2 linked regions of the Pelodiscus sinensis genome follow. The protein of the gene in region 1 interacts with the protein of each later gene in a biochemical or structural test. Links are inferred from orthologs where the notes say so. Each region holds a gene or a part of one and is shown on either strand. Other genes may lie near its edges.

Evidence for each region. The genes of interacting proteins can lie anywhere in the genome.
Region 2: the proteins of PIAS2 (region 1) and SUMO3 form a complex in vitro, tested with the Homo sapiens proteins (2 studies listed by BioGRID, with this or other methods). The link is inferred for Pelodiscus sinensis from reciprocal best matches to the Homo sapiens genes PIAS2 and SUMO3.

What each region holds. Positions count from the first base shown.
Region 1 is NC_134716.1:117,838,474-117,846,320, forward strand, and holds the start of PIAS2 (E3 SUMO-protein ligase PIAS2), read left to right. Parts: upstream 1-4,793; 5' UTR 4,794-4,890; coding exon 4,891-5,088; intron 5,089-7,847. Other genes in the region: KATNAL2 (katanin p60 ATPase-containing subunit A-like 2), read right to left, coding at 536-586. UniProt on the Homo sapiens protein: Functions as an E3-type small ubiquitin-like modifier (SUMO) ligase, stabilizing the interaction between UBE2I and the substrate, and as a SUMO-tethering factor.
Region 2 is NC_134720.1:3,174,891-3,182,585, reverse strand, and holds the start of SUMO3 (small ubiquitin-related modifier 3), read left to right. Parts: upstream 1-4,660; 5' UTR 4,661-4,824; coding exon 4,825-4,845; intron 4,846-7,695. UniProt on the Homo sapiens protein: Ubiquitin-like protein which can be covalently attached to target lysines either as a monomer or as a lysine-linked polymer. Does not seem to be involved in protein degradation and may function as an antagonist of ubiquitin in the degradation process.

The DNA.
Region 1 (7,847 bases):
AATAAGTGTGAGTTGTAATACCATCTCCAATGGGATCAGAAAAGGATTTCATGCCTTGCCCAGACTGATACAAAGGAGTCTGGAGCATAAAAATTGTATCAAATATTCAATGGAGGCTACATTTGCTGTTAAGCAGCAGATGGCGATAAAGGGACAGGTGACAGAATGCACTCAGCCGAACAAGCTCCTGTGTTAGTCTGTAAAGGGGGGGGGGGGGGGGGGGAGAAGTCACACAGCGAACTGGAGTCTCTGCTTGAGCAGGAGGATGGATTCCCACAGGTGTACGGACACCGGGGACTCCCCCCAGCCATGGGCGGTGAGCCCAGTCCTGAGGAGACGCTCCACGACTGACAATACCGCGCCCCGAAACTGAAAGGCGGACGCACGGACACCTCCCGCTGCTGTTATCTGCGCCTGCGCACCGAGAACGCCTGCGGCAGGGCGGTCTCTCTTTGCGCGTGCGCGGTCATGGCGCTCCCAGCTGCCCCGTCTCCATAGTAACGGAGAAGCGCAGCGGCCTTTCGGGGGCACTCACCGCCTCCTTGGCCTGGTGGGTGGTCTTCAGCGTCTGGTAGGAAAGCTCCATGGTTGCGGGGTACGCGGAGAGAGACCCGCTTCTCTCACGGTATAAGCGGGAAAGTAAAACCCACTCGGAGACACCGGGCACCGACCCCACAACGACTCATCGGCACACCGCTCGGGTGGAGAGGGAGGGCCTGTCTGAGGCGCTGACCAATCAGCGGGCGGGGTGGCGGGCGTTGTCCGTTGTCTTGACCTATCAGAGTGCCGGGAGGCGGGGATTGTCTTTAGAACTGTCCAATCACAGAATTACAAAAAAAACCCGAGCGGCTTGACCTACTGGCCAATCGTCATATAGGGAGGCAAGGCCCGCCGGGGATACTGGCCAATCACCACATCGGACAACGGCGCGTGCCCCTGTCTGCAGCTGAGCCTGGGCTGTGCGGAGAACGTGCGGGATAGAGCCCTGCTCCGCGCTGCCTGTCCCCGCTGGGCGCGGAGAGCAGCTGGGGGCAGGCATCCCTCCTCCACACCGGGCCTGGGCACCGGTCTGAATGAGCCTAGACCCCACCCCATCATGCCTTTATTCCATGCCCAGCCCACCCTGCCATTAGCTCAGTGCCCAGGCCCAGCCCAACTCCACTGCCATTAGCTTCTTGTTCCGTTCCCTGTTCCCCCCATTAGCTCCTCACTCCATGCCAGCTGTCAGTACATGCCCACTCTGCCATTAGTTCTTTGCACGTCGGAGCAGAAGCAGCATAGGGCCCTTGTCAACAGTTCCAGCCCTGCCCTTATCTCCCTTCCTAGCAGGGCATGGTCTCATGGCCCTGGAACATCTCAGAAGGCACTCGCCCCGGCTGTGTCTCGACTAGCAAGTTTTTCCACAAAAGCAGCTGCTTTTGCAGAAGAACTTGCCAGCTGTCTACACTGGCCACTTGAATTTCCGCAAGAACACTGACGATCTCATGTAAGAAATCAGTGCTTCTTGCGGAAATACTATGCTGCTCCCGTTCGGGCAAAAGTCCTTTTGCGCAAAAGTGTTTGCGCAAAAGGACCAGTGTAGACAGCTCAGATTTGTTTTGCGCAAAAAAGCCCCGATCGCGAAAATGGCAATGGGGGCTTTTTTTGCACAAAAGCACATCTTGATTGGCACGGACCCTTTTCTGCAAAAAGTGCTTTTGTGAAAAAGCGTCTGTGCTAATCGAGATGCTATTTTTTGCAAATGCTTTTAACGGAAAACTTTTTCATTAAAAGCATTTGCAGAAAATCATGCCAGTCTAGATGTAGCCCCTGTTTTCATCCTCTGTCCACAGCAGGTATATTCAGAGGTATATGGGACATCTCCCAGAACATGCCCTCATTTACAAACCACTACCTGCACCTGATAAACCTTGATGTGGTTTATCAGCTAAGGAGATGAGATGTCCTAGAGATTAGTGGTTAAAGAGGCATTTTTGATAGGGAGTGTTAAGGGTGGAGTGGGGCTCAGGCAGTTAAGAATAGAATAGAGAATAATGTGAAAGATATAATGGGGGCTGGAGGAGTGTGTCTTGACAGACCATATGTAGGGGGCACAAAAGCTAAATTGGTTTAGGAGAGTACAAGTATAAATGGCATGAATTTATCCAAAGATAATTAAGGGTGGTGGTGTGGAAGCACTGAACCAACTGAATTTAAAACAAGTTCAGTACAACTGATGGCTTAATTAAAAATGTTTCAAGCCACTAGCATAGAAATAAGGCCCTACTGGTAAAGCCAATCTTAAATCTCTACTGTGCATCAGATAAGACTGCTTATGGAAGTAGGAATAAGAGATCCTCCGGAATAGGGCTTTATTCCGGAGGATTGGGCCAGTCTAGATGCTTTTTTCCGGCTTTTCCCCAAGCCGGAAAAAAGCGGCGGACATCTTTATTTAAATCCCCCGTGGATTTCCCTATTCTGAAGTTGAAAATTAGCATGCCCCTTTCGGAAAAGGGGCCAGTGTAGACGTAGCCTATGTGTCTAGTAGAGGACATGATTGATAAACTTCACACAGTCCACTGTCTCCCACATCCTGCACTAGTTTCCAAGGGCTCTAATTTCCAAAGATTACATGGCCTTCTGACTGATGGGATAAGCAGGAATTCAACTATTCAATAAACTTTTTCCTGTGGTACTGGGAATAGTGGATGGCATGGATATGAAAAATCGTAAACTGAGACAGCTGCATCAAGCATCATTGTACTTAAACTGTGAAACATGATAGCAGGATGCAATGCACAACCGGAATCTATAGACACATACAAAATTCCATACATCCTGCCATTACTCATAAATGTGGACACTATCTACCAAAGGTGAAGGTTGCTTGGTAAGGAGAAGGAAATAAGCCATGAACCATCGAAGTGTTTCCCTCTTCCCGCTGTTCCTATCTCGAGGAGTTGGACCCAGTTACCTTACTGGAAACTTTAAAGGCCATAGAATCTGGGACCTGAAGAATTCTGAATTATAGCAGGCACTGTTGGCAGTGCCCCTCTACTATATATATTGGTCAAACTGGATGTTCTCTACGTGAAAGAATCAATGGACACAAATTGGATATACATGAAGAAAATACTCAGAAGCCAGTGGCAGAACATTTCTGTTCACCTAACCATAATCTCACAGTTCTGAAGGTGGTGGTCTTGTCACAGGCCAGTTCCTCAAGCCAAATAGACAGGGAAGACTTGGAATTACAATATATATGCAAATTCAATTCAATTAATTATGGACTTATTCAAGATATGGGGTGGTGGAAACTTTATCAATGAAGGTGCTAACTACTTTCTAAATGGTATCCTTCTTGACTTACCCATCCACTGACTTTCATCTTTATCTACTCAGGTTTAACACCCTTTCTCCTGATACTTTATGCATAGAGATAGGGGGGTAGGTGACAGGTTTAACACACTTCCCACCCCCTTCCCTTCTCCTATTTATTTCGAGTTTCTTTATCCTCTAATCATAACTCCAGTCATCTGAAGAAGTGGGCTGTGCCCACAAAAGCTCATGATACCATGTTTTGTTAGTCTATAAAGTGCTACCAGACCATTTGCTTGCTGGTTTTTTTCTATGTTGTAAAGTATTTGTAAAAACTCAAACCCCTATCTTGCAGATGGTTCTGCAGATGCAAGTCCCTGTAACTATGCAGAACAAGTTGCAGGCTCATGGTTGCAGTTGGCAATTTAGTGGCTTACAAGGAAGTGGGCAATCAGGTAATCCAGATGAGTAGAGGAGAAAAACATATGAAACCATTTAATATAAATATTTTACTTAAATTAATAATGGTCAATATAACAATTGTATTTCTTGACAGTAAACATTTTCCTGGTGTTTGCAACTACTACTTTGGAGCACTGTATGAGAACAGGAAAGAGAAACAGAGCTCGCGTGTTTGTCAAAGCCCATCAAAGTACAAAAAGTAAGCAGTGACGAATAAATATAAATTAACTTTCTTTGTAAGCTGTTACTATTAGTACTATAACTAAGGAAATTTTACTTTAACCTGATAACATGCCTAGTTTAGAACAATACAGATTTTTTTATTGGTTCATACAACAGACACAGGGTTGAGTTATGCTGCTGCCTTCCATTTCTAAGTTTTGCTGTTCCAAACTGCAGGGCCTCAGTCCATTTCAGAAATTAGACGCAGTGGGTGTATTTCCAACAAAAATTGTTTTCTTCAGCTATAGATAATAGAATAATAAGGCTTCTAAAAGCCAGAGCACAAATTGAAAATAAATGAGAGTAGGACTGTATCTCCACCAGGCTTTAAAAATGTTAGCACCTGTGTAAAGAGGGTGTTAAATGCTACTGAATTAGAATTCTCCTCTCACCTTCATTTGTGCTAATATGTTACACTCTCTTTCCACAAGACAATGGATCTGATGCAGAACTTGCAGTTTAAAGTCTTTATGACTAAACATAATCCCATATAGACTTAAAACACAGTCTGTCCCCACTGCTACTTTCTTTGTATCCATCATTCAGTAAGGCTGGATAACACAGGGCTTAAAATGCTAATAAGCCTAATTTGTGAGCAGCTGTGTGGTTTCTAACTGCCTGCCCCAAGGTTTAAACCCTGGCTTGCAATCACCCATTTGGCTTTCCTGGTGCTATCAGTATTTTATTAGGCAACAAAGCTATGGTAGACTCAGTATCACCAACATGCATGGCAAAGGGCCTTGAAAAGATTATTATTATGCTAATGATGTATGTCCCTGTTAACCAGCCTATCCCTATGAGGTGAAAGAGCATCTGGCTTCTGGAGAGTTTGCTCCCCGGTATGAGTAGTACTTTGGTATAGAAAACCCTGCATTATTGGCTTCCCTAGTAAGAGGTACTGCTTTGCTGATGGCTACTTCACAGCAAGGCAAGGTGTCTGCTCCACAGAGAGCTGCCTCATCATTCTGCTCTGTGCCTTTCACTACAAAACAAGAGAGGCCAGAAGGCCAAAGTGTGGGAGATGCTCCTAGGGCTGTGCCAGTGGCCCCAAGGAGGCTGAGAAGAAGGAGGAAGTGGAAGAAGCTGCCAAGAGAAGTCACAATTGAGGTAAGCTTGTTTAAAGCTTATAGAAGGCAGGAGAGGCTGTCTTTTTAATAGGCTTTGACACCCTCAGCAGCCTGAGTGGCTTATTATCTGTGGTTGATGGCTGGTCAATACATTGTATGCAGGGGCACTCAAAAGCTGGGGTTTATCTGTGAGCACAAAAGGTAGTTTAAAACTCTTTGGGAATGCTGATGGGCTGATGCACCAGGAATGGGGGAAGGGAAGATTTCCCCCAGAAGAAGAGAAACTCAAAGGGGAGAAACTTAAAAAACAACAAATAGTCAGGTATCACTTTAAAGACTAACAGAGAGACTGTTCAGGCCTGGAGTAGGAAATGAATGGGGAAGGCCCTTTGGGGGAGGGGGAGAAAGGAAAAAGGGAAGGGGTCCCTGAGGAGGAAAGGGGAAGGCAGCTTTGGGAGGAGGACCTTGGAAGGGGAAGAAGACTTGTGAAAAGTGGGGCCTGGAAAAGAGAGAGCATTGTGGAAGGTGGAAAGTAGGGAGGCCGATTAAGAGAAGATCTAGAAATGGTTGGGGTGGAAAACTGGAGACAGGGCGAGAAGGAGGAATGTAGAGAAGGAGGAAGAGTTGAAAAAAGTAGTTATCGAGGAAATTGAATCCAAAGGACAAATGGGAAACAGTAGACTAGAAAGTAAGGTAGATTAATGTCCTTTCTAATAACCTGTTAGGTGTCAAAACATTGCAAAAACAGTCTGTTTGCTTAGCTCACCTGATATTGGAATATGTGATTCTGTGGGTTACTGGGTGGATAGACAGACATAGATGTGAATTGGAAGGGGATAGAGAAGCCAAATATCCCTCTGTGCGAAGGTGAAAATATCCTGTTTTGTGGGTGTTCTATAGATCTGATTCTGTTTTCATATGTAACTGAAGTGAAAGATATGAGGGTGTGGTGTGTGTCTACCATGAGACTGACCATAATGGGTCAGCCTTCTTTCCTCCAACTCCCTCACCCAGACCAGCCACAATGGGTTTGTCTTTTGTTTTTGAATAGGGTGTGTTTATAACAGAATTGAACAATTGTGACAACTATCATTGTTAAACATGAGTATAAAGTCAGTGTAGATAGCACAAGTCATCCCTGATCATTTCATAGAATACTAGGACTGGAAGGGACCTCGAGAGGTCATCGAGTCCAGTCCCCTGCCCCCATGGCCGGACTAAATACTGTCTAGACCATCCCTGATAGACATTTATCTAACCTACTCTTAAATCTCTCCAGAGATGGGGTTTCTACAACCTCCCTGGGCAATTTATTCCAGTGTTTGACTACCCTGACAGTTAAGACATTTTTCCTAATGTCCAACCTAAACCTCCCTTGCTGCAGTTTAAGCCCATTGCTTCTTGTTTTATCCTCAGAGGCCAAGATGAACAAGTTTTCTCCCTCCTCCTTATGACACCCTTTTAGACACCTGAAAATGGCTATCATGTCCCCCCTCAGTCTTCTCTTTTCTAAACTTAACAAACCCAATTTTCAGCCTTCCTTCATAGGTCATGTTCTCTAGATCTTTAATCATTCTTGTTGCTCTTCTCTGGACCCTCTCCAATTTCTCCACATCTTTCTTGAAATGTGGTGCCCAGAACTGGACACAATATTCCAACTGAGGCCTAACCAGTGCAGAGTAGAGAGGAAGAATGACATTTAGATCCCATGGGTTCAGCAAGGTTTATCTTCAACCAGCTGACCTATTACACACAAAGGTCTCTGTCTGAATTGACCTCCATTTTGTATTGTACACCGAATAAATGTGACTCCTTGAGGTAACAAAATGACACAATCTTCTAGAGTTGTCAAGCCAACTAGAGAGCATAGAAGTAGAGGCTGCCTATGGCATAGCTCTATGAGCCTCCCCAGAAGAGTAAAGGCTGTGCAATGTTTTCAGTCTTCAATGGCCAACAGAACTGATTGGGCTTGAGGAGGAATTTTGCATGTTGTCTCCTGTGCCAGTGCATTTGAAGTCTAACTTTAGTATGCACTTCCCAGAAGGAATTATCCAGAATTCTACCTGACAACTCCTGCTGCAAGTGGCCTGCTGCACAAGCGATGGCTAACTCATGTAATTCAGAGCTCTTTGTCTTAATGTTTTAAAGCCATATTTAACTTCTAACAAAATATAGAAAAAGTGCCTCTGCTTGCTAACTGCAGGACACTATTTGGAATTTCAAAACTTTCTGGGGCAGGAAGCCTGTATCTTTGCTTTCTAATGTCTCTCCAGGTCTCTTCACTTTCTCCCTCCTTGAGCTGGCCTGGTTGGTTGGTTGGTTGTTGATTCCATCATTCCTTTTTTATTTTAGCAAATCAGTTTTTGATTTAACAGCAGTATTGTCAACCAAACTGAACATTGTGACTGGGCAATTATTGTAACTTGAGATTATCTCTAGCTACTTTTGAAAATACACTTTTCAGTTGCACCTCAATGTTAGTTTTGCTGTAAATGTCTCAGCGTTTCCTTTGCAGCAGGAGACCCATTTTTCTTTTTCAGATTTACTGCTTTGTGACATTTTCTGCTTCATTTTTTATTAATAAAATGAATCTCATTGTCGCCACTTCTGTTGTGATGAGACTGTATCCAATAATAAATGGAAAAAACTGAGACCAATGATATCATTCTAGTCCATATATATTATATACACACACTGCACTTTAACTTGTTCAGACTCAAAATGTTCACTATACTAGCTCTCATTAATAGAATAACAATGCTTCTTATAAAAATAAACAAAAATGTGTGCTTCAACTTT
Region 2 (7,695 bases), on another chromosome or scaffold:
TATCTCTGTTCCTTATGTGTATTGTGTAACTTGTATTGCTTCTACAAGGGATGTATGTCACACTGATGTATGTGAATTATTGCTTTGTATGCACATACGTATTCTCCTTTGCAAATGTATGCTTACAACTCCTTCCACATACATACATGTATTTATATGTATACATTTATGTGGTTTTGTATGCAAGTCTTTTAATAGAATCTATGGCTAGAAGGAATGTGCGAGATCTAGTCTGACCTTTTGTATAACATGTCTTGTATATGTATTAGCACAACATGCCAGGATCCATAGGAGCCAAATACATTCCCCAGTGTATGTATACGTATGTGCACTTTTTGTGCACTGGTCTGAATTGTGTGCATTTATTTGTATACATGTCTGTTACTATTGTATATGCAGGAGTTGTGCATACATGTATGTTAGTTGTGGGGTTTGTGCATCTATGCATACTTTGTGGGGGAAATAGCATCTATGCATACTTTGTGCATGTTTTGTACATGTGTGCATCCATGTTGGCATGTGGATACACTATAAACAGCTCAGGATGCATGTTTATGCATGTCTTTTCATTTACAAAAACATGTGCCTGTTTTCCTATATGCTCATACATGTTTATGCAGGCATATTCATTAGTGTATATTGGTTCATGTTTATTTCTATGTGTATATATGTTGGCCATTGGCCACACAGAGGGCTATAGCTATCTATATGTCCATTAGTGTACATGGGGGTGTATTTTGCATGTGTACACGGGAGAGTCATGAGCAGTCACACAAGGGAACACAAGTACAGGCGCTCCCAGACTTGTGATGTGATTGGTTCTGGGGGAAGCGGTGCAAGGCGGGGGCGTTGTAACTCGAACCTACGTTTACAATAGGTGCCATGCGGTGTTGTAATTACAGGCCAAGGATGTAAGGCGGGGGTTTCCAGCCCCTTCCACACTTACAAAAACGGTCGTAAGTGGGTGGGGGGGGGGTCGCAACTTGGGCTGGATGAAAGGGGGGGGTTTCCTGTATTTGTACGCCTCTATGCAGCCTCAGTTGCCCCATCTTTAAAATGGGGAGGACAGTACCACGCTCAAGCTGCGGGTGCACAGTGGCGGCTCGGAGCCGGACATTGTGTGTCTGTGCTGGGGGGTGTCAGACAGGGAAGGGGCTGCCAGGGGCTACCCCCTCCACCCCCCCCCTCGCCCACCAGGCCAGTACTCCTGGAGGGCAGATGTAATTGTGGCAGTACCAGGACTTGGGGGAAGCTGCCCCCCCTCCCTCAGGCTGTGGGAGGCGCTGCCCCAGGGGCCCCTGTGCTGCCCCCCCAGGCTCTGAGAGGCGCTGCCCCGGGGCCCCCGTGCTGCCCCCCCAAGCTCTGAGAGGCGCTGCCCCGGGGGCCCCGTGCTGCCCCCCCAGGCTCTGAGAGGCGCTGACCCAGGGCCCCATGCTGCCCCCCCCAAGCTCTGAGAGGCGCTGACCCAGGGCCCCGTGCTGCTCCCCCAGGCTCTGAGAGGCGCTGCCCCCCCCCCAGGCTCTGAGAGGCGCTGACCATGGGGCCCCCGTGCTGCCCCCCCCAGGCTCTGAGAGGCGCTGCCCCGGGGCCCCCGTGCTGCCCCCCCAGGCTCTGAGAGGCGCTGCCCCGGGGCCCCTGTGCTGCCCCCCCCCAGGCTCTGAGAGGCGCTGCCCCGGGGGCCCCGTGCTGCCCCCCCAGGCTCTGAGAGGTGCTGCCCCCCCAGGCTCTGAGAGGCGCTGACCCGGGGGCCCCCGTGCTGCTCCCCCCAGGCTCTGAGAGGCGCTGCCCCGGGGGTCCCCGTGCTGCCCCCCCAGGCTCTGAGAGGCGCTGCCCCGGGGCCCCTGTGCTGCCCCCCCAGGCTCTGAGAGGCGCTGCCCCAGGGGCCCCCGTGCTGCCCCCCCAGGCTCTGAGAGGTGCTGCCCCCCCAGGCTCTGAGAGGCGCTGACCCGGGGGCCCCCGTGCTGCTCCCCCCAGGCTCTGAGAGGCGCTGCCCCCCCCAGGCTCTGAGAGGCGCTGCCCCCCCCAGGCTCTGAGAGGCGCTGCCCCGGGGGTCCCCGTGCTGCCCCCCCAGGCTCTGAGAGGCACTGCCCCGGGGCCCCTGTGCTGCCCCCCCAGGCTCTGAGAGGCGCTGCCCCAGGGGCCCCCGTGCTGCCCCCCCAAGCTCTGAGAGGCGCTGCCCCGGGGGCCCCGTGCTGCCCCCCCAGGCTCTGAGAGGCGCTGACCCAGGGCCCCATGCTGCCCCCCCAAGCTCTGAGAGGCGCTGCCCCGGGGGCCCCGTGCTGCCCCCCCAGGCTCTGAGAGGCGCTGCCCCAGGGGCCCCCGTGCTGCCCCCCCAAGCTCTGAGAGGCGCTGCCCCCCCCAGGCTCTGAGAGGCGCTGACCATGGGGCCCCCGTGCTACTCCCCCCAGGCTCTGAGGCACGCTGACCATGGGGCCCCCGTGCTGCTCCCCCCAGGCTCTGAGGCGCGCTGACCCGGGGGCCCCCGTGCTGCCCCCCCAGGCTCTGAGGCGCGCTGACCCGGGGGCCCCGTGCTGCCCCCCCAGGCTCTGAGGCGCGCTGACCCGGGGGCCCCGTGCTGCCCCCCCCCCAGGCTCTGAGAGGCGCTGCCCCGGGGCCCCCGTGCTGCCCCCCCCCCAGGCTCTGAGAGGCGCTGCCCCGGGGCCCCCGTGCTGCCCCCCCCCAGGCTCTGAGAGGCGCTGCCCCGGGGCCCCCGTGCTGCCCCCCCCCCCCAGGCTCTGAGAGGCGCTGCCCCGGGGGCCCCCGTGCTGCCCCCCCCCCAGGCTCTGAGAGGCGCTGACCCGGGGGCCCCCGTGCTGCCCCCCCCCCAGGCTCTGAGAGGCGCTGACCCGGGGGCCCCCGTGCTGCCCCCCCCCAGGCTCTGGGAGGCGCTGCCCCGGGGGCCCCGTGCTGCCCCCCCCAGGCTCTGAGAGGCGCTGCCCCAGGGGCCCCCGTGCTGCCCCCCCCCAGGCTCTGGGAGTCGCTGCCCCGGGGGCCCCCGTGCTGCCCCCCCCCAGGCTCTGGGAGGCGCTGCCCCGGGGGCCCCCGTGCTGCCCCCCCAGGCTCTGGGAGGCGCTGCCCCGGGGGCCCCCGTGCTGCCCCCCCCAGGCTCTGAGAGGCGCTGCCCCGGGGCCCCCGTGCTGCCCCCCCAGGCTCTGGGTGGCGCTGCCCCGGGGGCCCCCGTGCTGCCCCCCCCAGGCTCTGAGAGGCGCTGCCCCGGGGCCCCCGTGCTGCCCCCCCCCAGGCTCTGAGAGGCGCTGCCCGGGGGGCCCCCGTGCTGCCCCCCCCCAGGCTCTGAGAGGCGCTGCCCCGGGGGCCCCCGTGCTGCCCCCCCCCAGGCTCTGAGAGGCGCTGCCCCGGGGGCCCCCGTGCTGCCCCCCCCAGGCTCTGAGAGGCGCTGCCCCGGGGGCCCCCGTGCTGCCCCCCCCCAGGCTCTGAGAGGCGCTGCCCCGGGGGCCCCCGTGCTGCCCCCCCCCAGGCTCTGAGAGGCGCTGCCCCGGGGGCCCCCGTGCTGCCCCCCCCCAGGCTCTGAGAGGCGCTGCCCCGGGGCCCCCGTGCTGCCCCCCCCCAGGCTCTGAGAGGCGCTGCCCCGAGGGCCCCCGTGCTGCCCCCCCCCAGGCTCTGAGAGGCGCTGCCCCGAGGGCCCCCGCGCTGCCCCCCCCAGGCTCTGAGAGGCGCTGCCCCGGGGCCCCCGCGCTGCCCCCCCCAGGCTCTGAGAGGCGCTGCCCCGGGGGCCCCCGTGCTGCCCCCCCAGGCTCTGGGAGGCGCTGCCCCGGGGCCCCCGTGCTGCCCCCCCCAGGCTCTGGGAGGCGCTGCCCCGGGGCCCCCGTGCTGCCCCCCCCAGGCTCTGGGAGGCGCTGCCCCGGGGCCCCCGTGCTGCCCCCCCCCAGGCTCTGAGAGGCGCTGCCCCGGGGCCCCCGTGCTGCCCCCCCCAGGCTCTGGGAGGCGCTGCCCCGGGGCCCCTGTGCTGCCCCCCCCAGGCTCTGGGAGGCGCTGCCCCGGGGCCCCCGTGCTGCCCCCCCCAGGCTCTGAGAGGCGCTGCCCCGGGGCCCCCGTGCTGCCCCCCCCAGGCTCTGGGAGGCGCTGCCCCGGGGCCCCCGTGCTGCCCCCCCCCCAGGCTCTGAGAGGCGCTGCCCCGGGGGCCCCCGTGCTGCCCCCCCCAGGCTCTGAGAGGCGCTGCCCCGGGGCCCCCGTGCTGCCCCCCCCAGGCTCTGAGAGGCGCTGCCCCGGGGCCCCCGTGCTGCCCCCCCCAGGCTCTGAGAGGCGCTGACCCGGGGGCCCCCGTGCTGCCCCCCCCCCAGGCTCTGAGAGGCGCTGCCCCGGGGGCCCCCGTGCTGCCCCCCCCAGGCTCTGAGAGGCGCTGCCCCGGGGCCCCCGTGCTGCCCCCCCCCAGGCTCTGAGAGGCGCTGCCCCGGGGCCCCCGTGCTGCCCCCCCCCAAGCTCTGAGAGGCGCTGCCCCGGGGCCCCCGTGCTGCCCCCCCCCAGGCTCTGAGAGGCGCTGCCCCGGGGGCCCCCGTGCTGCCCCCCCCAAGCACTGTGGGGCGCTCCCTTGGCCCCTCCATGTTGGCGCCCCGCACCAGTTCCGGTTCCCCGATGACGCACTTCCGAGCGCCCCGCCCTGCCTCCGCCCCTAAAGCGCGCCCCCGACAAGCATCGCTCGCGAGCGCGCCTCGTGAGCGCGCGCCGGCACGTGGCCCCCGCCGGAGCCAATCAGGGGCCGGGGATTCGGGGGGCGAAGCGCGCGCTCGCGGGCAGTTGCGGCGGTTGCGAGGCGGGAGCCCGGAGCGTGACTGTGCCCGCGCCAGGCCGGACTCGTCCGACGCCGCCATGTCCGAGGAGAAGCCCAAGGTAACGGCCTGCGCGGGACGGGCTCCCCCCGCCCCCGCCCGCGAGGGATGCCGGGAGCGCGGCCTGGCTGCGGGCCAGGCCCCGGGAGCGGCCGCGCGGGGCCGTCGGGGGAGCGCCCGCCCCGTGGCCCCGCCCCAAGCGCGGCCTGAGGCCTGGTGTGGGGGAGGGGCGTCCGGGTAGGGCCTGTGGCAAGTCCCTGGGCCCGGCCCCGCCCCCCAGGGGACCCCTGGCCCGGGAGCGGGGGGGACGTGCCCCGGCCGAGGCCTCGCCCGGCTAGCCGGAACGCCCAGCGTGGCCCGGGGGCTCCGGCCCGGCCGTGGGGTGAGACGCCCAGCCCCTTTCGGTACCAGGCGCGCTCACACAGAGAACACGAGCCGTCGGAAAGCGGGACCTGGACGTCGTCTGGAAAGCCACCGGCTGGATTGCCACTTCGGGACTCGCCATTGAAGAGGAAGAGATTTGTGCCAAAAGATGGAAAGCGAATCCGTTGATTAGCCAATGCCTCTTTCAGGTGGTCCCTGTACATTCTTTAAGGGACGGTGTTGCAGCAGTGCACAGAAAACGTCCTTGGTACGGGCTGGCATTGGGCCTCATTGATGGAGGCAGTGGTACTTGGTGGGTTCTTGCTCAGTTCTTTGATTCTGAAACTTGTGGAAGCTTCTGACTTTCCTCTTCAGGGTTTTAACAATTGTCGGTCATCAGCAGCGCTCGACAAGTCATTGAATCTACTCGCCACGTTTCTTCCGGTCGCCCCATTCATCGGCGGCGCTTGCATGTGCAATGCGGGTCTTGCGCATGCGCACTGCGGGGCTGGTGAACAGATTTCGCCACTGTTTGTCAAGCCCTGGTCATCAGGATCTTGAGAAACTGAAGAACTTCTTGTCACCTGGAACTAGAACACTCATTCTTAAGCTGATGATAATTGAGAAACTGTTAAGTTTATTTAGTGGGATGAGGAGGCCAGAAATTAAGTGTTTGGGAATTACTGAGAAGACCTGTGTGACTAATCTTCAGAGCCCATGTGTCAGGAGGTATGGTTCAGGAGGAGAAAGTTCTTCAGTCTTCCTGTTGAGTTGATGGGCTCCTTGGCTGGCAAGATTTTGCTGTATAGAAAAGACGCTTCCACCTGTTGCCTGATGCAAGAAAAGAGATGAAAGATTTGGCAACCCTGGATTTGTTGGAAGTTGTGGTGACTGAAATTTTCCCTTGAATCCCTGAAAGAGCATTGGTTGGGCAAGAGCTCATTTAAGTCTCAAAAATTCTTTGGTGTCTTTTTGAGGGATCCCATGAAAAGTGTAATTTCACCAAAAGGCGTTTCAATGACAGAGGTGATGGTCACAGGAAAGTATCTTGAAGAGCCTGCGGTCATGGCATTGTTTACGTTGATTGAGAGAGAGAGACCCACAATTGGTCAGTTCAGTCCAGTCAGTAGTCAGGAGTTCTTTTGGATTCCTCACTAACATTGATTGAGCTCTCACTTGTCAGTATCTGCAAGCGGTGCTTACTTCTGTGTCTGTTTAGCTAGGGAAACTCTGTCCCATCTAGATGGACAAAGAGCTGCTAGTGCAGAAGGCTACAGCACATCAGCAGCAACACAGACATATCACATCTGTCCTCTGTCCTCTATGCTGGCTTCCCATAGAACCAGCAAATCAAGGTTTCAGTTGTTACCTTCAAAGTGCTCCTTGGCCTGAGCCAAGTACCTAAAGGATTGTCTAAAACTCAGAGGCAAAGAGCATGGTTAACAGCTCTGCTCCTGTAGCACTGTAGAAATCTCAACAATAAGAGTAAAGCTTGTCTGTGCAGGAGACCGATTTCTTCAGAGGTTGTCTGAGATGCTGGAATGAGCTACCCCAAGGATGAAGTACCACCACAAACCTCACCATTTTCTGATTCAAGGGCAAGACCCATCTCTTTCATCTAGCCTTCTCCACTCTTTAACAACATATATTTATATAAAAAAAGCCGTAGGGGTGGAAGCAGACACTACTGAACAATCATACTTCCCTGAACACGTTTCTCCCTCTAGGGAGAGGATGAGAACAAATAACATATGACAGTAGTCACATCACGCAGCATGTTACTGGAAGGCGTTCAGATGCTATTGAGATCCGTGCATTGTAAAAGCATATAGAATGAGATTGACCTAGTAGGTCTATGTCCAAAGCGCTAAGCCAAGCTAGAATGTTTCAGAAAGAGTCCTGCTAGAAAACTTAGCAATGATGTAGATTGTTATATAGGAAACAGAGTGCTAACTGGTCAATCTTTAGCTTTTTCTTGACTTTTGTGGGCAGTCTTAGATTTAGGATGTTGCATGGAGTGTATAATAAAGATGTGAGCAAAAACAGGTGGTGTAAAATTGTTTTGTAGGACAGTGAGCAGATATTCAGAGACCCTTTCCAGTGAGTTTTTAAACATGTGGCCCACAGAATCCTTAATGGTTCTTTTCCTTCCACTGAGATTAGAAAGTTCGTGTGCTGGAAGCAGTCTTAAGCTGAAAGAAGGGAGGCTCAATCTAAGGGCAAGGAGGACTGGATTTTCCTAGCTGTACTTGGTGTAGCTTTTCTGTAGCTCTGCTCTTAGATATTTTTTTTTCTCTGGATTAGGGATGTTATCCGGTTAACTGGCAATCATCACCCTAAAAGGCTAATGCTTATTGGGTCGTCTTAACCAGTAGGGTGCTGGAGCAGTAAAGCCTCCTGCTCAGGAGCCGCTCTTACATGCAGAGCTTACCCATTTGTGTTGATAACTTGTGTGAATGTTTATGATAGGGATGTTAAATTGCGTTTAATCAACTAATTGACTAGTGGCTCTTAATACATTTAAAAAGCAGAGGCGCAGCATCCAGTC